Rhinolophus ferrumequinum: one gene and its partners. The protein of the gene in region 1 binds, or shares a complex with, the protein of each later gene. Links are inferred from orthologs where the notes say so. Each region holds a gene or a part of one and is shown in the gene's direction. Other genes may lie near its edges.

Region 1 (6,935 bases):
GTGAAATCAGCGAAATCGAATTTAATTGATTCTTTATCAAATAGTAATATTCTTAAATAAAAAGTTTTAAATCTTTGCTTTTTGAGCAAGTTGCCCAACAGAATTTCAGAAAACAAAGGAACATAGTTATAAGGGATCTTACAGATCCAGGTACTGGTACTACCAACAGAAAAAAACATAGAGATCAGATTTACTCAGATCAAATATTAATTTCTAATTTGGAAAAGACACAGGTGATCTCTAAAACATTAAGCACTTTTTTTTTATTGAGAAGGAACGAACCTCTTCTATAATAATACAAATAAACAAGTGTTTCAGAACAAATTGTACCTTCACAGTGCTGCTATTAAACCAATTTAGTCAAAAAAGCCTTACTTAAGCAAGAAGTGTTGGATAAATCACTTCTTTAAAGAAATATTAGGTTGGTGCAAAAGTAATTGCGGTCTTTGCAATGATTTTTAACCTTTTAAACCGCAATTACTTTTGCACCAACCTAATATTTTATTAAGTTCTTTTTTTTCCCCCATTAGTTTCAGGTATACAAAGCAACATAATAACATTTAGGTGTTCTTAGATTTTATCTTAATTCAAAATTGTAATTTCTAACAAACATGAAAAATTCCTATGAAATATGAAAAGCAGGTTATTCTTCCATTGCAAACATTGATCTACTATAATACTGCTTTTAAAAATTGCTTAAGTGCTACTCTTTTTTGTTGGAATGTCTTTTCAGTTGGGGTCTTTGGAGAAAGGTTTTGTTTTTATATCAGTGAAGATTTAATTTCTCAGCATTTGTACAGTGCCAACTACTTGAAAAGTATTATTTCTTTAATCTCAATCTCATTGCAAATGAGAAAAACAACAATCTATTTTTGGATGATATAATACGTAAAAGTATTGCTTTCATTTTGCTTTTAGTGAGTCAATCCATTTGCTATATATGGCATAGAAAGCAACCCAGAGAGGAGAGATTATTTAAATTTAACCCGCATTCGACTGACCATTTTATAATAAAATCCAGTATTCTTAACTCTGAATGTCACAATTATAATTATTCAATGGATTGTGACGCATTTATTATTTAAAATTTAAAGGCCAACAGTGAACATCCCGGATATAAACCTGAGCTTCAGGACCAGCAAACCCCACTATTTATTAGTGCTTCTTTAACATCCACAAAGGCTCTCCTTCTTTCCACACCTCACTCTCTACTGCTAGTCAGCCTGTGAAAGTGGCAGGGATCACATGGCTCAAGTGAAAATGCCAGTGTCATCAGCCTTATCCTCCTCGGCATTGTTGTGACTATTAATTTTGTGTCACCTTTTATACTTTCATTTCTGGTTTGCCCTGTGAGAATTTCCTGTTTATGTGTCTGCTTCCCCTACAATGACTGTGAGCTACTTAAGAATACTACATATTCTTATCTTTGTCTCTGATGCTAAATACCATGTCTGGAACATAATTCACCCTCCACAGATGTTTGTTTGTTATATATGAATGAATAGCTAGGACTCTATATAGCTATAGGTATTTGAAGAAGCTTAAATCTGTGAGAATATCCCATCGTCTGATTTATATATTTAGGTGTTTATGTCCCTCTTTAACATTTGCTAGTATATCTCCTTGGGGAAGACTGTTTGTGTACCAAGGAGAAATGCTGTGGCAAGATGCCATTGAGGCAGGTTTACTATTCTGGGCTCCTGAAGTGACTTGTTCGCCTTTGTTGCTTACAAAGCCAAAGATAATTATTCATTATATGTCAGCTTAAACTCAAGATAGTTGGGAATGAGTGGGACTTCTTCCATGATTAAGGCCATTTTGACTCCCATTACAGAAGCTGGTATGGGGGTCGTGTTGCTAGGGAGAGAAATGGAAACAACACAGGTAGAAAAGAAGGTAGCCTGAAGTCTTCTAACTCCTCAGGGGCCTCACTCACTCACTCACTCACTCACTCACTCACTCACTCTTCCAGGTAACAAAGATGAAAGTGGTGCAATTGTTCTTCTGCAGTGGTAGGTAGGCTCCTCTAATAGTTGAACGATTCTGCATAAATGATTTGCATTTTTATCGCTATCTTTTCCCCTAGGAGAGGAAGGTATTTTGCATTCAATAATAGGGCCTAAGATTAATTGCAATCAACACAACGTGCTTAGTGTGCTAAACAACACCTCTGTGGGGGGTGGGGGGAGGAAATACTGAACACTGTTAATATACTCATGAACAACAATATTAAGTACACAAGCTCGGAGCATGCATTAAGGGATTGTGCAAAACTGCAACAGCAGTATTCTGTCTCCAGAGCTGGTATAATTTGTTTCTGGACTGCTGGTGGTAAAAGCTAAAGCTGACCCACAAAAACAAAATTAAACCCCAGAAACTTAAAATGTCAAATGTTCACCCAGTAAACATTAATACTTCTAGTTTACATTTTGATGTTTTCTTTCTGTAGCCAAACGTAATGCTATCGCGAGAAGGGAGAATTAGAAAATAAATAAGACGGGATAATCGCAGAGCGTCACAGTTTCTTTTATTTACCTTTCGCGATACAACCTATAGATGTTACATGTTATTAAAAAAAAAACACACAACCCACTGAACATGTCAGAAAACATTCCTTCGGTCACTTAACCTCACCTGGCGTCTCATTAGCCACCCAGACCAGTGCTCGGCTTCGCTGTCAGGCCGCCTCTGGCAAAGGTGGGGTAAACAGCGCCGAGTCCACGCACAAACACGGGATGAGGTGGGTTCGCCAATCTCTTTCCCGCCATGGATTTGTGGATGTGGTTTTTTAATACTCCACTAGTTTTCCCAGCGCTGCTCCACATTCAAGCCATGAAAAGAGAGTAGGAGGACAGCAACAGTAGGAGAAAATAGGAAAGACCACTGGCCGCCGCGCGCGCACGCGCAGCACTACCAAACACGGCGCCCAGGGGGCGGGGTCAAGGCGCGGCGCTGAAGCTCCGCCTTCTTCCCCTCACCCCACCCCTCGGCGCTGGGGAGTGACTGACTCCCGCCAGCCCCTCAACGTCAATCACCCTTCTTCTCGCACTCTCGGCACCTTGTTATTAATCTCTATACCGATATCGCCCGGAGGCCTCTCCCCCGGCCTTCGGGGGTGTGAACGTGTGTGAGCCAGAGCGAAGGCACCGAAAGCTGGCGTTTCTGTGTACCAGTCTCGGCCCCAGCAGCAGCAGGCGCAGCAGCAACCCCCGCAGCGGCGGCAGCTCCAGCGCCAGGAGGCCAAGGCCAAGGCCAGGCTCTGCGCGGCTCTCGGAAAGGTAGCCGCAGCTTCGGCGGCTGCGGGGGCGCAGCTTCCTCCGGCGGGGGCCTTCGCGTCGGCGACTGCGGCCGCGGGGCCTCTCCTGCGCTCCCAGGGTCACCGTCCCCGAAGCCCGGCAGCGCGGCCCTCGTCCCCCTCCCTGCCCCCGGTCCGTCTCCTATCTCCCTTCAGCCGCCCTCCTCACCGCCGCCTCTGCGGTTCCTCAGGCGGCCCGGCCCGGCCCGCCCGCCCCGCGTCCCCTCCGGCCGGTGCCTCTCCCCCCGGCGGGCTGCCTGCATGTCTTTGCTGCCCTCAGCCCCGCCGCCACCGCCGCCACCGCCTCCCCCGCCGCCGCAGCTCCAGCACCAGCCGCCCCGCCGCCGCCGCCGCCGTCGCCGCCCGGACCCCGGCGCGCTGAATGCAGGTGAGGAGGGGGCGCAGGCCCTTCGGGACCCCAGGCCCTGGTGCCCGGCGCGCGCGCCGCCCGCGAGTCGGCTTCCTTTCGGGGCGGGCGGGAGCGAGGCCAGCCCGTGGGTGTTTGTGTTTGTGTCTGCGGCCGCGGCTCCGGAGGGGAAGCATCTGTGGGGGCCTGGTGCGCGCGGGCGCGCGTGTTTGTGTGTTTCCCCTGCCGCGGGGAAATGGCTGCTGTTGCTCCTCCTGAGCTAGAGGAAGAGAATGAGGTAGAGTGTTTTTGTGCCTCTGAGTAGGATCAAGAGTGTGGGGGAAAGGAGCGCGTCCCCGGGGAAATGAGATTGGAAAAAGACGAATGTGCGTGTGGGTTGCGAGTTGGGAGTTTGGCGGGCGGGGAGGCGGCCCTGAGGACCCACAGCGAGTGGGTGTGTGTCGGGTGAGGGACTGACCCGTGTCTGTCAGAGGTGCCGAAGGTTCCGGGAGTGTGTGTGTGTGCGCGGGCGGGGGGGTCTGCGCCCAGGGCCCGGGACTTTGGGGGCGGGATCCGTGTGTCCGGGACCCCCAAGTGGCGTGTTCCTCCCCCTTTGTGGTTGAGGCTCCGAAGCCTCGCAGGTGAGAGCTACTCCGCGGGGGTCGGGCGGGGAAGGTGAGTGTGTGCGCGGTACACGTACAGCAGCCGGGCCCGGAGAGCTGCGGGGCCGGGTGCGCCGCCGTTCTCCGGGCCGCGGCAGGAAGCGCGCCGGCCTGCGGCGAGGCCTAACCGCCTCCGCGCCAGCCCGTCCGCCTGCCTCCCACCGGCCTCCCGGGACGCCGCTTGAGACTCGCGGGCCCTGGGTGCTTGTCTTGGGCCTAGGCAGGTGAGGGTCGGAGGCGGGACGTGCCAATTGCAGCCGCCCCCGCGTCTCCTGAGAGGCGAAGGCATATTTTGGCGTTGTAACTGCAAGCCCTCCCCCTGGCAGGCTGTGGGACCCAAGGGAAAGTGAATCAAAGCAGTGAATCTGGGGAATACGCGTTGTCGAGATCCCTTCTTTTTATATGTTTCTTAAGGCTCTGGGAAGGACTAAATATTTTCATTGCAAATACTTTATGGGTGGTAAGATGTATGCTTTTTTTTTTTAAGGTAAAAATTTTCTTTGAGGAGCAGAGGAGGAAATGGAAGCTGGCTTCTCTGTCTTGTGGTGTTGGTGGGATTGGATCGATTTTGTGCATTTGAAATTGTTTTATCCTGCCTCCTAGGGGGAAAGGCGTGTACTCGCGGAGCTGAGGAGGTCAGTGAGGAAGAGGAAGTTACTGGAGCTGTCATCCTCCTTAACTCTGCCGAGTGTTTAGGCTGTTTAGATGGATTTGTGTTCTGGCAGTTTAGCTGAGCTTTTCACACATTGGAAGCACAGTACTACATTTTAGGAAATACTACCTTATTGCGTCCAGTTATCTTAGTCGTCGCTCAAAATAGTTGTGCACAAACACGTTTTTTCTTACAGTCTCCAAAACTTAGATCAAGCAACATCTATTGTCTACTCAGCGTGTGCTCCTGGAAAGCTATTTTGAGAGTAGTCTAAGTAAAAGGCAACCATAAAGAGAAATTTGCCAATAGGTGTACAGTGCATTTCAGCATTAAGTATAAATGTCATTTGGATAATTATTTGTTAATTAACTTTATCTACTCCACCCTCTTTCCATTTGCATCTAGTTAGCTCATGCAGCTAAAACCCTACGGGTAAAGTCATATAGATTCCTTCCTTAAAGGCCATGCTCTGTATAATGGCCAGAGATTGGTCCTTTTCTGAACCTGGTCTCACAAAGAAATGTTCCATGCTGTTCACTGAGAAGTGGGGGTAAGAACAGGAGAGGTGGAGAGCTGTTTTGTGTGACCACTACTGGAAAAACAACACATAGTTCAGTGGAACAAGGACTTGTTTTACAGACCTCAGAACTCAGGCTGTGCCATTTTTATTAGCTGTTTGACCTTAGGCAAGGCACCTAATATCTATATCTCTGTTTTCTCATCTGCAACAAGGAGATAATGCATTTATAGTATGATTGTCTGAGGATAGAATGAGAAAACATATGTTTGGCACATAGTAGATGCTTAGTTAAGTAGTTCCTCCTCCTGCATTCCTGGACATTGAAAACGTTTATAAGTACAAATAATCATTTAATTACTGAGCAATATTATGTAACTAAGTTAAAAATCAAGACAACAGAACATTTGAGAGTCCTTTGATATATATAAGGTATATATAAACAACTTTCAATGTTGTATTTTAGAATTTTTTTTCTAGAAATGAGACTCATTGAAATACTTAGTGTAGTTTATAGGTAGAGACTACACAGCCATGCTTAATATTTTTTCGTATTTTTCAGTGGACCATATCTCAGTTTCATTACACTTTTTATGAGTTCTTGCTGTGTAGCTCTGGAAAAAAATTATTAAGCTATGTGTAGCATATACATGTTCCAATACAATCAAGCATTAAAAAGGTTCAAAAGACTAGAGTTTACTTTATATAGGTCCACAAAGTATAAGTGATACAAAAATTGGTATGTAATTCTTTTAGCTTATGTTGATTGATTCTGGTAAACAAAATCTGTTGGAATATTTTCCTGAATGGAAGCAAAAATTGTCTATCGACTTTCAATAATTTTCCATTTTTTTTTTATTCTGCGTGGAGTAGTAAATGTTCTGTTCATTTAATTTTAACTGTGATGGAAAAAATAATGGTGTGGAGTTTAAGGCAAAGGCAACAGAAGTTAAATGATTTCTTCTTTTACTTTCTCTCTCTCTCTCTCTAAAATTTTTTTATTTTTATTGGTGAAGGCAGAGTGAAGAGAAGATAGGAGAAGTTTCATTGGCTTAAGTTTGTATGACAGTTTGTTTACTAATGCCAAGTTTCCCAGTTAGATCTTAATATCATTATTTTTATCAGCAGTGTTAAGCTTTAAATAAATAACTAAATAACTAAATAAAGCCTAGTAGTAAAGCAATAAAATTTCAACAAATTTGTGAAGAATTTTTGTGAAGGATAGTAGGGACAACTTTATTAGAATGCAAAATATCACGGTTTTGTTAAAGTGTGTTATAGGTAATGCATCATTTACAACAAACAGAATTATCTGTCATATAGTTATATTTAAAGGAAGAATTATTACCTTAAAAATTATAAATGATAATTTTTGATTCTTTAGAAACAATTGAATAGAATTTTGCCCTTAACTAGGTATTCGGCAATTTTCACTAGACATTATGAATTATAGTATTTAAAAC
Region 2 (7,982 bases), on another chromosome or scaffold:
TGTAACAACAATTCACCTTTATTCTGATTCTTGTGCCAAAGGCAATGCACTCTTCTTTGGGAACTACTCATATTCTGCAGCTATGCCAGTTCTCCGGAAGCCATCAACTCAGCTAAAGAAAATATAAGCGTGCCTTTTTAAATGAATCCAATGTAAAAAATTAAAATTATTTTTAAATGTGATCATTTATACAACAAAGATTAACCTTTTGATTATTTAAAAACCATAAACCACCTTACTGAAAACACTTAAAATATAATGCTCAAGATACACACACACACACACACACACACACACACACACACACACACACGAGAGTGCAATAGAACTGTAGGGATAGTTCTACTTGCAAAATAAGGGATCCCAGGAGGAGCCGGCACTTCAATTTGTGTCTTGGTTTATTTATCCCTGCTACATTTTGAAACTAAGGCAGTGAAAAAGAGTGTATCTTTTGTTAACTTCAGAAACATTGTTTCATAATGATGTCTTACGTCTTAAAGATACCACTTCTATGATGTGCTGATACAATTTCAAAAGGTTAAGTAAACCTGGTTTTTACTTTTCTTTCAAAACTAACTTTATGGGTTTCTTTTTCAAATTTAGGCATCTCTAAGCCTCAACTTAAAGGCGGTTCTAACTCAAACATCTCTCATTGCCTTCATGAAAGCTGTAACATCAACTTTAAACTCGTTTATTCACTTAGTAAAAAATCATTTACTGAGCTACTCCAATTTGATAGCAGTCTAGTATGGATACAAATGTGAAAATTATACAGCCCATGCCTTCAAGAGGCTCCCCAGACTTCTCTCCACTTCTCCTTCCCCTTTCATTCAAGCAAAACATCCTAGCATCAGCTTTAACCTCTTCGCATTTATCTAAAACCCAGTCTTTTCATACTAGTTACTACCCTAATTCAGAAACACATCACTTTGCCATCACTCCAACCTAATATTTATTACGCAGCATTTACTAAGCACAGTGCTAAGCTCCATACATGCACTATCTCATTTAATTTTCACAATATCCTAAAGGATAGGGATTACTATTATCTCTCTGTTACAGATAAGGAAACCAAGGCTTGGAGAGATTACATAATTTACCTACGGTCAGAGTCAGTAAGAGACAACAGTCTACCACCAGAACCCACGTTTTTAACTACTACCATACTGCATCCTCATCAATGATTTGCAGCAACCACTTTCCAGTCTCCATTCCCTCAGGATTTTTTCATCCAATGAATCTTTACCCTTTCTAAAGAACTACTCTTTTTATCTCCTATCAAGGAGAATATACACTGCCTCCTTAACTTTCTCCCTAAAAGTGGGAGGGGGGGAGGACCTGTCCTACCTTCTTTTGTACTCCAACAAAATAACAGGCACTTAGTATGTGCTAAATACTTGCTATTGATGCTGATTCCTTCCCAAACATTTTTAAAATTTTATTTTATTGTGGTAAGAATATTAACATGAGATCTATCCTCTTAACAAATTTTTCAGTATACAACACAGCACTGTTAACTGCAGATACCATGTTGTACAGCATATTGCTAGACCTTATTCAACTTTTCAGCTTGCTTAATTGAAACTTTCTCCCAAACATTTTTAACAGCTCATCACTACCTACAAGATGAATCCAAATGCTTCTCTGTTCGGCATTCATACACTTCCTATGTTTTATTTTCTATTTCTCAACAAAAATCCTGTTCCACACACACAAATTATTAAATTTTAATATTTCCTTCCCATCTACCACCAACTTACTTAAATAGGATGTTTTCCTTTATTTTTGGAAACCTCCTTGCTGGTCTCATAGTTTAACCTGTTGTTTAAAAATATATAAACCACTGCTCTGATTTCTAAGGGCTTTCTTGCACAAAGATAAAATTAGTGTTGTGGCTGAAAGAGAGAAGTTGCCCTAGATAAAGTTTATCTCCAATTCAAAGAGTCTAAAATCTAAATGATTTTATGACATAAAAATGAAAATTCGTCCAAAGCTGGAAAACCCTTTGTTGTTTTTTTTGTATCCTTTGATTTGTCTGCAGACAGAAAAGGTGTTTGTCAACAGATGACAAGAATATCAGTAACCTTCCAAAAGACATGATGGCTACTCATTTAACCAATTCTTGAGAAACAGAAATTAAATAGTTACTAGCTTATATTCTAGTAAGAGACAGACTTTAAATAACCACACAAATAAACATATAATTACAAGTTCTGAAAGATGATATAAAGTGCAGGGCATGATGAGAGATTATAATAGGGTCCCTGATTTAAGACTTGGGGGTTAAAGGTTAGAGAGCACCTAGGGAAGGTTTCTCTGAGGAAGTACCATATAAGCTGAAACTTGAAGAAAGAGTTCACTGAAGGACAGTCATGCTGGAACCACCCAAGTAAACAGAACAAAATGTGCAAAGGCCCTGTGACAGAAAGTAACTTGGTGTGACTGAAGAAATGAAAAGCAGTGTGACTAGAGTTTAGTGAGAGAGAGGAGGATGGTGCAAGATGAAGCTAGTAAAGCAGGAAAGACTCAGGTTATGCAGAATCTTGTACAGCATAGTAATGATTTTGAATTTTACCCTCAATGTAATAAATACTTAGTGATTGGGAAATCCACAGAAGGGTTTTAAGCAGAGAAATGACATGTTACTGCTGAATAAAGAAGTGATTTCAATTTGGGGAGGAGAAAGGAGCAAGAATGGAAGAAAACAGGACAACCAGATACGAAAGTATTAAAGTGATTCAGCTTATAACAATTACAATAATAATGCTTACTGGCTGTTTACTATGTATCATGTTCTTACCACAGTTATCTCATTTAATCTTCATAAAAATTCAATAAGGTGATGATTATTCCCATTTTACAGATGAGAATACAGGGTACCTAGCAGTGACATTAAGTCCAAGTGAATGAGGATTGTGGCTTGGACTGGAAAAGTGATACGAAAGATATACAGAAATAGATTCAACACATATATTGGAAATAGAATAAATAGAACTTGAAGAGGGTACGGATACATGAAATGAGGGAGAAGTCAAGAATGGCTTTCAAGTGTCTAGCCTATGTAAGTGGATAAATGGATATGCCACTTAATGAAACGGGATACTGGAGAAAGAATTTGGATATGGAGAGAAAGATTAAGAATTTGGTTTTAGACATGTTATATTTGAAATCTCTAAGGAAAAAAATCAAGCTGAAATGTCAAGCAAATGGGGGCTAGTTATAATAGATCTTGAGCTTTTGGGAAGAGGCTGGAAATAAAAGTTCTTAAGTCATCAATATATAGGTAGAATTCAAAGCTTAGGGTGGAAAAGGAAGAGCAAAAAGAACAGGGCCTACGACTGAACCAAGATATTCCATGTTACTCCATTAAACCTCTCTCACCATGACCATCGATTACTTTGATTTCACTGGGCTTCTCAGTCCTCATTCATCTTTCAGCAAAATGCAACACTACTGATTACTTCTTCCATCTCTTTACCAGACTTGTATTCCTCTATCCAGTTATTAAACGTCAAGAACCCCTCAGTGAGCCATCCTAGATCCCCTTTTCCAGCGTTATACTCGCTTTAGGCAATTTCATCCACATCCATGGCTTTGATTACCATCAACGTGGCAGATGACATATATACATTTATCTATACTTCCAGCCCAGAACTCTCCTCTGAGCGTCAAACCAATATATCCAACTGCTAACTTGACATCCTCTCTTAGGTATCTCTTCCAGTTAGCTACTTGTCAGATACTGTCACCCCCCAAAAGGCATGTACAGAGCCAAAATTTTGAAAGAACTACCACAAAGCCACTACAGGCCAAGTCTCCAGAAAACAGGATTTTGTCATCAATTATCATTTCCTTTCATGGCTCATGCCCTAAAACAGGTGAAGCTGACAACCTGAACTGATGGCTAGAGATGGGGAGCAACCAAATGCACGACAAGAACACAATTCATGCGTTTTAGTGAGAGATGGTTAGGAGAGGAAAGAAGGTGAGGAACTGTCAAGAGAGTGAGAGAATCATGTCCAAGGCCTGTGGATGTGCGGCAACGTAGGTCCTCTTTTTAGAGACAGCAGGCCTCGCTAAGGGGCGAGTGGCGGACGCCGACAGCCCCCAGCGAAATGGGGGAGGTTCCGGCTGCGGAGGGGGCGAGTAACAGTCAAGACCAGGTCAAAGGAGAAGAAAAGCCTGAGGGAAGCCCCAAGTGCAGCACCGGTGAGGCCAGGGGAGCGTCGAGTGGATGGGGGCAGGCTGAGCAGCAGCGGGGCGAACTCCAGAAGAGTGAACGCCGAGTGGGCGGACCGGGGGTGGGGGGGAAGCCGCTGGGGAAAACCGCTCAGTTGAGAAGCTTTCTGGGCCCGCCTTACCTGTGCCTGCGAGTCCTGAGCCCGGGACAGGCCCGCCGGAAGCACGGAGTCCGCGCGGAGGGGGAAAAGTGGGGGGGAAGGAAGGAAGGGACACCCGGCACGGAGGAGAGGGACAGCTCACTCCCCCCGACTCAGGGAGAGCGGCTGATGGCGGGAACTGTGACCACACGCAAACACGCAACGCACGCACGCACACTCTACGCGACCGGACGGGGCGCGTGCGCGCAGGAATGCAAACTCCGCCCCTCCACGCCCTCGCCCCGCCCCAGCACTCGGCGAAGTCTCGCCAAGGCAGCCCCGCCCCATCTGACTACAGGACGCATGCGCATTTCTTACTCACTCATTTTCGACTTCCCACCATTTCCATCTTACTCAGCCCAGTCGGGCATGCGTACTACTTCTCCTTCGGGGACTGCCCTGCTTTTCCCGCCCTTCACTGGCCTCCGGAGGAGGGTCAGAGTTCACTCCCCTCTCTGGGGAGGCCTGCGGGGAATGCCAGGACTAATAGGAGGCGGACGTCCTTCAGGTCCTGAATCTTAAGCGACAAAGGACAGACTTTAGGACTAACTCCGTGGAGAGCTAGGAGGGGGGAAGAGGATTGTGGGCGGTGTCAGGGGTGAAAGGTCATAGGGCTGCGAAGGGGGCGGAGCGAGCCGGAGGCGGATGGCGGCTGCGGCAGCTCTTTGGCGGCAGAGTCGCTGAAGCTGGGACGTGGGTCGGGCGCGTCCGGCGGTGGCTGGAGAGCGGTGGCCGCTCCCAACATGCACAGCCTGGCGACGGCTGCGGTGAGTGGGTGCGCCGCCCAGCCTGGGCCCAGAACCCCTCCTCAGTCCTGCGTTTCGGCCTCCTCTCCTAGCTCCCTCTGTGGAGCCTGGAGTCCAACTTCTGCTCTCAACCCACGAGGCCCCGGCCCCCCCTCCTCGCCGCGCTTTGGTCGCGGTGAAGCCACCCCCTACTTTCCTCGCCCACCGGCACTTGTGGCCTCTCGCGCCGCATTTCGCGTTCTTTTCCGGCCTGGGGCCTGCGCGCGCCCGGAACGCCTCCCTCGCGGCCCGGACTGGCCATTCATTGATTCATTGCCCTGACCAACAGTTTCCGGGTGCCCGTTGCGTTCCGAGCGTCGGCGGGGATGAGGGTAATTCTGTGATCGATTTGACAAGGCCCCGGGCTCTCGGAACTGACTGCCTAGGCACATCGCAGCGGAAAGGAAATGGCTTCTAGTTAAAACCACTTGCTTTGCAGATGGAAAATCTGAGACCCAGAGAAGTGAATAATTATCGTGTCTGACTTACGGTTCTCTGCGCTTAAAACCTTTCCTCACACATCTCGTTTTATCAGTGTGGTCTTTTAACCAAAATGGATCGGGTAGTTCACCTGTCTAGTGTAATCCTATGGCTTCCCATTGCATTTAGATAAAATCCAGAGTCCTCGCTATGACAAGACTCTCGCTGGTTCTTACCCACGTTTACAGTCTTGTCTTATGTCACTTGCCCGGTAGGCTCCAGTTACACTGGACATCCCGTCTACCATCCCTTCTGGTGTGCTTTTCAACTCCAAAGTGCACTTTCTGATCTCTGTTCCTGGAATGCTCTTCCAACTTAAACACACACACACACACACACACCCCTCCCCCCAATGTGGGCATAGCTGGCTTCCCTCAGGTCTCTGCCAAATCTCCCTAGAGTGGGCGACCCTGACCGTCTTTTTTAAAGTACTGTAGTTCTGTAACCTCCAACTTTACTTTTCAAGTATCCTTTACAGCATTGATTACAATTTGTAATTTTTTTGTATTTATTTGCTTGTTGATTGTCTCCCTCTTGAGGACAGAGACAGGGATCATGTGGGTCTTGTTTACATAGTAACCCAGATCCAGGACAGTTCCTGGCATAAAGTAAGGGCTCAGGTACTTTGCTGAATGAGGGGTGCAGATGAAGGAGGTGGCTACTGAGAACACATAGCCACAGTGGGAAAATGGGATCATATGATTTGAGCACACTTTTGTAAATGCCCACCCCACTTTTTCTGTTTCACAGAGGTAAAGTGACTTAATGAGAGAATAATATACTTAAGTTGCATTAGTAGGCAAAATGATACAAATACGAAATAGAGAACCCAAAAAATTGCCTTTAAATATAAAAAGGAAGCTGTGTAATTAGGTTAGAGAAAACGTCATTTCCAGAGCCAGTGGCATCTCTGCCTCCTGTCACCATGTTTCTAAGTGTTTGTAACTAGTCAAAGTGGAGAAGTACCTTTTATATCTCTCAATTGGGTGTTTGCAATTTCCCCAACTTTTTTGTTTCTTCTCGCACATTACATGTATAATTTGGAAGAAGCAAGTCAGAAGATGAGGTTTCTGCTAGTAGGGAGGGACAAGGTAAATAAATTCTTCTAAGGTTGGCTTGTCCATCTCTCAAAATCTGATCGTGTGTTCGCCACACTTTGATGCCAAGCTGCTCTTTTCTCTGTGCCTCCCCAAACTCTATACCCATACCTATTCAATTTCTTTTATTTTCATTTGCTCCCTGTAATTCATCTTTTGAACAGCCATTAAAGCTGTGGTTCATTACTTATAAGTAAGTACTCAATACATGTTTCTTCAATTAGATTGACAATACATTTATTTAAAATTTGAACTTTTAGATATACTTTCATTTGTTGTGCTGCTTAGACCACACGAAAGCTCTGACAAGTTACTTTCTACCACTCATTCACTAGAATATTTGGTTAGTGAGGAGACTGAAGCGCATGCCTTCCATTAGACTAAACTGCCTGTTTTATTCTGATCTGGGTAAAGGGACAGTAATGGTGTTTGTCACTCTCTAGAAATTGAGAAAAGTTAATACATGCACCAGTGCCTGCAGTAATCTAAGCAACTTGATTATTACTTTTTGCCTAATGATGAAAATTTGTATCTGTGTGTACCTTTATCTTTTTTAAAATAACAGGTAATTCATCATTTCAGCTAGGGAGATAGTACTGTCAAAGGAGAATGTGATCACATGTGAATGCAGGATTTCATTCACAATAGGGAGGATTTGAGATAATTTGGGAAATATCTTAAATTTTGACTTGAGTAGTATTATACTGGAAATGTATGGTATGATAGACCTTTCATTCTTTACAGAATACATTCTAACGTCTTCATTATTGCCACCATAGAATGTAATTTCTCACATCTATTAAATAAGGACACAAATACACACAGGATTATTTAAAGATGAAATAATAACAGAGTGATCAGTGGTTGGCTAGGTTCACTCACTGGTTAAATGGCTTGCTCCTAGGTTCAGCTTTGGGACTCTAGTTCCTGCCTCAACAGAGTAACAAATCACTTTGTTATGGACCTTGGAGGTTGATTAATAGAATTATTATACATATCTTCACATACTGTGGGTCTTCTGTAATGAATGATATGCTAGTGATCTAAAACAACCAAAGGAAAGCCCTTATGAGATGCTCTGGGTATGCATTTTTAAAAATATTCCCCACTGATTCCCCAGTAGAATTTCTACTGGCAATTCTAACATCTTTAAACCCTTGTTTTTGCCTCGCTTTCCACCTAATGGGCACCGTCATTAGTTATTCTATATCTTTTTGTTGAAGTTGTGCTAGACTCCCAGA
Region 3 (7,414 bases), on another chromosome or scaffold:
GATGGATTTACTGTGTAAACAACATTTACATGTTTAAACTGTGTAAACAACATTTACAATATTCCTGCTGGTAGATTTGCTGTAGTTATTCCCTATTGTTGGACATTTAGGTGTTGCTGATGACAATAAATGCTGTGACTATCTCGTCCAAAAGGGCTTTCCTGATTCTTATTTCTTTAAGATAGCCTTTCAGAAATAGAATTATTTAGACAAAAGGATATCAATATTTTTCAGACTCTTAGTGCATATTACCAAATTATTTTTCTGAAAGCCCCACCAGCCATTTAGAGACTAAGATTAGAGGTTTTCCTAAATTACAGGCCCTATAATAAATATGCTAAAACAATCCACAAAGAAAGATTAATTCTTTAAAAAAAAAGAAAGAAAAGAAAAAAGAAAAGAAAACTCCCCTCTTTCTCAGGATAGATCAGATGAGGCAGGGGGACGCTTTCCTGTGGATTTTCTCTGTTACCCAGGAAAGGAAACTCGGGGTGGGGGTTATTATTTATTATAATAAATGTGTGACTTGCTTTCTGCAAAAGCCAACTCAATATTCAGAGGAGAAGCTGATGAGTCTTGCTATGTCCTAGATGTACTCAATTTGGTATGTGTGATCTAAAGTTATCTTGGCATTGCGCTGTCTACTATGACCAGCATGACTGGAGGCAAAATGTCACATACGTGCATGGTACAACGGTGGCCAGGATGCCTGTGCATGCTTTGATCTCTGGATTTTTGCTGTCTACCCCTTCAGAGGCTGATCGTTGGAAGAAAAGGAGGAAACGTGAGAGCATCAAAAAAGCTTAGATCTGAGAAAAAAAGTGACTGACATGGCTGTGTATGCCATGGACATGTTGAGCCTGCCAATGCCAACAATGAGCTCCATCTTCAGGACTGACCAACAGTTACAATGAAATCAAATGATTTGGGACCCTTGCTATATCATTAGATCTAATCTGCTAACCTCATCAGTAAAAGTTGAATTCTCAAGGCACCTCATCCACGTAGTACAAAGATCTCTGAAATACTGACATTCTTTCTAGTATTAATTTAAAAATTAGGCCAAAGATGTCTTACCTTTACGTGTTCAGTGTCCTAAGCAGTCCCACCCTCATCTTGGGTCATATTGATAGCTCTAGACCACAGAACTACAATAAGCTCTGACCTGCCAGTCCTGGAGCCAGCTGGGGAAAACTGACTGTCACGCGGGGTGACAGGCGGGGTCTCAGCTCCCGCTCCCCACACAAGAAGAATGCAGGACATGGTGAGGCCAAAAAGGAACACCCACGGAGCCATAGGAAGGGGAGTCATACCATTATAGTCTCACTGGAGGCTGGATTCACACGACCTGCGACCTGCTGTCCGCTTTTCTGCCAACCGACCGACTCTCTGACCTCCCTCCACTCTCCTCGACTCCCCAACGCAGCCACGGCAGTTATATTAGTGGCCAATGGCTCAATGGTTACAGCCGACGGCCAACCAGCCACAGCTGACGGCCATCTACTACCTGAGCCAGCACCTTTCCGCATGAGGCCGAGAGCCTGGAAACTGCTCTCTGGGGCTCTGTCCCCACACTGACCAACTCTACAGGCAGCCATAACTGAGCTCCAAACCCTAAAGGATCTGGCAAACTCAAGTCAGGGTCCCCAGCCAGTGGAGTAGACAAGACCAAAGAAGAATTTGGAGAGAGAACAAGAAAGCAGATATTATGACTGATAACAACTGGACTGAAAATTATAAACATTGTTTAGAATGAACATCACTCTGTTGTTTGGTTACCTTCACCAATAGAAATGCCTTCCTTCTATTGATGTGCCTGTCCTGTCCGTTTCTCATAAACACCCCATGCCTTTGCCTCCAAATCTCCTGATAGGAACACTATTTGGGGTTCTGTCTGCATCAGTGTTTCCCAAATTGCTATTCTTTTGGTCTCAAATAAATGTTTGCTGTCTCTCACTTGGGCCTTTTATTTTTAGGTTAACAAATATAAAGGTAGAAATGAGTTGGATGTGAAGAAGAACTACCAAGCCATATGCTCAGGAGAACTTAGGGCCTCTACTGGGGTGAATAGTGTCACTCAAAATTCATATCCACCTGGAAGTTCAGCATGTGACCTTATTTGGAAATGGGGTCTTGGTAGATATAATTAGTAAAGATGAGGTCATACTGGATTAGGGTGGGCCGTACATCCAATGACTGGTTTCCTCATAAGAAGGTCATATGAAACACACACACGAGGAAGAAGGCTAAGTGACCTCAGAGGCAGAGGTTGGAATGGTGCAGCCATAAGACCAGGGACACCAGAGACTGCTGACAACCACCAGAAGCTGGGAAGAGACAAGCGGGAATTCTTCCCTAGAGCCTTTAGAAGGAGCATGGCTCTCCTGACCCCTTCATTTTGGACTTTTAGCCTCCAGAGCTGTGAGAGAACACATTTCCATTGGGTTAAGCCACCCAGCTTGTGGTTACCAGGAAACTAATTCAGGGCCTGAGAGTTGTTTTCAGGGAATATGTAGGAAGCTCTGGCTATCATCTTAATTTTGAAAGTGTTCCTAAAGAAAAGCAGTTTGTTAAAAAGCAAACGTCAAGTACATTTGAAGATCTAATTGGCTTTATTAAGCAATTCATGAATCGGGCAACATCCCATCTATCCACTAGAAGGCCACTCAGAGGGAATGTGCAAAATGGAAGGCTTTTACAGGAATGGTAGGCCAAGGGAGCTATTGATAGAAGGAAAAAAAGGATTGTTTTGGGGCTGGGCCATTTTTTGAGGGGAAAGAGAATGAGAAAGAGTTTTTATCATGCTGATTGCCTCTTCTTTCTATGGGGGAATGGAGATGACTGAGGGAAAGATTACCTTGCTGGTGCTTGACCAGAAAATTCCAGACTGGTTGATTAAGATTACATTTCTGAGAGAGGTTGAAACAGCAATTAGGTCAGGTATTAAATCAAGGTTTGGTATCATGGGCTTTTAGCATGAGTGATGCCATTTTGGCATGTGGTTTTCTCTTTCACAAGTTCTGGGGGTAGAGGCGGGTTATTATAATGTTTCAATATTTTGAAACATCTTAAAAAAAAAAGTTAAACTTACATATGTAGGCTCAGGAATGTGATCATAAACCAATCAGTCTGGAATTTCCTGATCAACACTTGTGAGGTAATCTGTCTGATAAGAACCCTGTCAGCCTTCCTCCAAAGATAGATGACCTTGCCTGAAACAATCTTTGTTTTCTTTTGCTAATAACTTTCTTGTCCCACTCAGTTTCCTATAAAAACCTTCAATTTTGTACAGCCCCTTGGAGCACTTCTCTGTTATTTACTACTAGATGGGATGCTGCCTGGTTCATGAATCTGCTCAATGAAACCAATTAGATCTTCAGATTTAAATTTTGTTTTTTAACAGTTGCTATTAAGAATGTCAATTGGCAGGAACTTTCTAGAGGGTAATCTAGCAGTAAATTAAAGAAGCCTTTAGAATATGCTGGTGGTCACGCAGCAATTTCTCTCCCTTCAATTTTACTTTACAATTAAGTTGGTGCTTAATTTAATAATTCTTAAACTGCTAGCACTGTTTAGTGCACACTGGATTTCCCAAACTCACCTGGTGGGAACTAATGGTGAAATGTGCCTGTAGGTTTCTGTGGATCCAGGGAGAAGCTGGGCAAGTCTGGGAAACAAGGTGGTTCTCAGACCAGAGTGCATGCTAGTCACCTGGGGAGGTGATTGGTTTTTGTTTTGTAATACCTGAGTCAACATCTCTGGGGGTGGGACCAGGCACTAGCATTTTTAGACGCCCTGGGGCTTCCAACAAGCAGCCAAGGCCCAGAATCAGCGTCCTAGGGCAAACTATGTAAAAAGTTGCACAATTTTGTAAATATTTACTGGAAACATTCCTCCTAAATCTTGTTAAAATACGATGTACAAACGCTCCTGTGCAATATGATTCCATTTCTGCAAAAAGGAGTGTAAAACTGGAAATTAACTTTGATTATGAGTAATGTGTTAGTGACTTGCACTTAACTTTTTTTTTTTTACCACCAAGAGTCATGTATGTCATATTAAGAAAACCATTTACAATCTAAGACGCACTTTTCCAAACAATGTAGCCCCCAGCTAGTGGGACCACCTGGTGCCCGGAACTCCGCCGGGAACTCACTCCTCAACACGTAGACCCCCGCAGTTTTTGAGCGGAACCGTGCAGGCCCGCCCCCACTTCCGGCCTCTTGACCCCGCCCACCCCATCTCCGGATCCTCTCCTTGGCTTCGCTCCACCAGCCTCGCTTTCGCTCCGCGCTGCCCAGCCCTTTGCGACGCCCTGGCTTCCCCGACGAGTTTGGTTTGCGACGCTGTCGTGTAACAGCGCGCTTTACGGCCGCGGGACGGAGCGAGCCGGCGTTAGGGCCACTCCGGCCGGGAAGCGGGACAGGCGAGAGAGGTTGATGCCCGGCGGCGGGGCGAGCGCGGCGTCTGGCCGGCTTCTGACCGCTGCGGAGCAAAGAGGGGCCCGAGAAGCGGTGGGGGCGGCGTCCAGGAGCGGCCCGGGGGTCTCCGGCAGCGGCGGCAGAGGCGGAGCAGGAGGCCCCGGGCCGGGCAGTGGAGGCCCGGGGGGCCCTGCGGGCAGGATGAGCCTGACCCCGAAGGAGCTCTCGAGCCTGCTGAGCATCATCTCGGAGGAGGCGGGCGGCGGCACCACCTTCGAGGGCCTGTCCACCGCCTTCCACCACTACTTCAGCAAGGCTGACCACTTCCGCCTGGGCTCTGTGCTCGTGATGCTCCTGCAGCAGCCGGACCTGCTGCCCAGCGCGGCGCAGCGCCTCACGGCGCTCTACCTGCTGTGGGAGATGTACCGCACCGAGCCGCTGGCCGCCAACCCCTTCGCCGCCAGCTTCGCGCACCTGCTCAACCCCGCGCCGCCCGCCCGCGGCGGCCAGGAGCCGGACCGGCCACCGCTCTCGGGTAAGCGCCGCGGCCGGCCCTTCGCTCCCGGAGCCCGGTGTGCGTTGTGGATAGTTAGGTTCGTCGGTTTTCCACCTGCGCTGTCGGAAATTGCCCCGAAAGTGAAATGAGCTCTCCTTTTGAAATTATCTCTGCCTCCCCCACCTTTAAAGTATGGAGAAGTGGTAGCTTAATTACAAGTTCATGGCATCGAAGATGATTTTTCTCAGTAGTACAGGCCGTTCAAATTATGCAGCGCAGTGGGGGGCTTGACATTTTTAGTACCTTAAATACAGTTCGTTCTTGTAAAGCTTGTCTGAGGGGTGTGAAATTGTAACTAGTGACCCACCGATCTGTCCCTGGCTTTAACTTTCAGACGAGTAAGTAGAGGCCATTGTTCAGAACCCGAAGTTTTGGGTGGAAACACATTAAACAGCTTTTAAGGACTTTGCAGCCATCTTTGTTGGACTGTTAGGTGCCCTTGGATAATGTGATGGGAGCAGAGGATAGATAGTTTCAAATTCACCGCCGAGGTCAGAAAACGCATTATGTGAACTGTGTGCAACATTGGTAAGATCAGATCAGTGGCCCCATGCGAGGCTGCCTCTTATTTAATTTTATTTTTAACTCAAGAGATGCTTTATGAGACTTGACTTTGGGAGAAGACTTGCAGCCAGGAGAGGAGAAAGGCACAGAGGGGATGGTGACAAGTATAACGGTACCTGGAAGACTTAGAGAAGGACCAGTGTCATGGGGGACGCCCAGGTAGTTAGAGGTGGGAAACAGCTTGATCTTCCAGTCCTTAACCTGGTGTCCTTCACCCGTGGGTAAAGGGCAAATCACTCTATAGGCAGGGCTGCTTTACAAGGAGTCAAAAGGCTAAGACAGCAGATTTTGAGCTAATACCATGCAGTTTTTCATGGTGCAGGAGGGCTTTTACATTTTAAGCTAGTCTGTCGTCCTGCCTGACATCCCTCTGGATCTAGAGCGTCTTCTGGTTTGTTTCCTGCACTGCCCTTATCCACGAGGGGCAACTTTTTTGTTGGGTGAGATGCCCCTAGGGTACAGTCCTGAAGTTTGAGAATACTCAGAAAGTGAATGCAATATGTGTATGAGTGGTCAAAACCCACCTCCATACGGAGCCCATAGAGGATGGGGACACTGACGGATTTAGGTCACAGGGCCCTTTGAATTCTTTGCATGAGCTAGACAAAAGAACCATGATTTATATACTGTCGTTCTCAAATGCAATGAGTCGAAACCTAGATCTAGACTGTAGACTGCGTTGTAAACAAATGGGCCAGGGAAGGAATCCATGGATGGCTTATTTCACCTCTCTATGCCTCAGTTTCTACGTCTGTAAAATGCCGGTAATTCCTTGCTGGTAGAGTTATTAGGAATAAAAGTAGTCACAATAAGTATTACCCATTATCATCATTACTTTCATTAAAGCAGGTAGGGATGGTGCTTAAAAATAAATGGAATATCGGTGCCAAAGCTCATGACATTGTACACCTAGAGTGTCTAAGGAGTGTATTTTTAAAAGTTTTTCAGATGATTCTCATGCAGAGCCAGGGTTGAGAATGTATCTGGAAGTAAATCAGAAGGCTTCCCTGTGCCCAAGAAGCGTGTAGGCTGGTTGGGGAGACATAAACATAGTCATAACACAGTGTGGTAAGGGCTGTACTACATGTCACATACCAAATGCTCAGTAGCACAGAGCAAACTCCAGTGTGTAACTGTTAGAGATGGTGGCGGGGAGGAAAAGGGGTGGCCCTGCCAGGTATTCTTCAAAGAACTTGCTCTGTTGGATGTTTTGAAATCCAGAATCAGAGAAGCTGATTTTGTGCAGCTGGAGTGTAGGATACAGGCATTGGAGGGGAATTCAAGAGATGAGATCGGGAAAGGGGGTCAGAGCAGGTTACGAAGGGTTTTCAAATGGTGCAGAAGTTTGGGTTTAATTCTGTGTAAACAGGTTAAGTAACGTGAGCAGTTTTGTGCCTAGAAATATAGCAGAATGGTAAGTGGGGGTGTGGACTGTAGGTGGGTCAGGAGTCAAAAGGGGTTGCTTTGGAAACCAGGAAGGCTGTCCTATAGTCCAGGCAAGAGAGGAGGGAGAGGGAATGGCGAGGAGGGAACGGAGTCACCGGAGTCTGGTGACGCTGCAGGAGGATGGATGGTGAACAGTTAATACGGGGCCAAAGGAACCAGTCACTGTATTGAAGCAGGTGTGTGAAGTGTATTTGCGTTATTGGTGATTGCTTCCTTCTTTTCAACCTCTGCAGTGGCTGCAGCAGCAGAGAAGAAAAAAAAGCATTCCTAAGTGCTGGAGTTCTCTTACTTGTTTTTGCTTGCATATGTAAGCTTTAGCCTTTGCAGGGATTGAGGCATGTGAAAAACAAAGTTCTTAATAGTTACAAAAACCTTGTTTTCATTGATACTGCCACAAATCATAGCATTTCCAATGACGTATTTAATT

The links.
Region 2: CNOT6L (region 1) and CNOT9 share a complex: the UniProt entries of both Homo sapiens proteins name them as parts of the CCR4-NOT complex. The link is inferred for Rhinolophus ferrumequinum from reciprocal best matches to the Homo sapiens genes CNOT6L and CNOT9.
Region 3: CNOT6L (region 1) and CNOT11 share a complex: the UniProt entries of both Homo sapiens proteins name them as parts of the CCR4-NOT complex. The link is inferred for Rhinolophus ferrumequinum from reciprocal best matches to the Homo sapiens genes CNOT6L and CNOT11.

What each region holds. Positions count from the first base shown.
Region 1 is NC_046288.1:33,656,789-33,663,723, reverse strand, and holds the start of CNOT6L (CCR4-NOT transcription complex subunit 6-like), read left to right. Parts: upstream 1-3,852; 5' UTR 3,853-3,934; coding exon 3,935-3,939; intron 3,940-6,935. UniProt on the Homo sapiens protein: Has 3'-5' poly(A) exoribonuclease activity for synthetic poly(A) RNA substrate.
Region 2 is NC_046291.1:16,770,568-16,778,549, reverse strand, and holds the start of CNOT9 (CCR4-NOT transcription complex subunit 9), read left to right. Parts: upstream 1-4,980; 5' UTR 4,981-5,122; coding exon 5,123-5,146; intron 5,147-7,982. UniProt on the Homo sapiens protein: Component of the CCR4-NOT complex which is one of the major cellular mRNA deadenylases and is linked to various cellular processes including bulk mRNA degradation, miRNA-mediated repression, translational repression during translational initiation and general transcription regulation.
Region 3 is NC_046296.1:3,473,479-3,480,892, reverse strand, and holds the start of CNOT11 (CCR4-NOT transcription complex subunit 11), read left to right. Parts: upstream 1-4,363; 5' UTR 4,364-4,439; coding exon 4,440-4,956; intron 4,957-7,414. UniProt on the Homo sapiens protein: Component of the CCR4-NOT complex which is one of the major cellular mRNA deadenylases and is linked to various cellular processes including bulk mRNA degradation, miRNA-mediated repression, translational repression during translational initiation and general transcription regulation.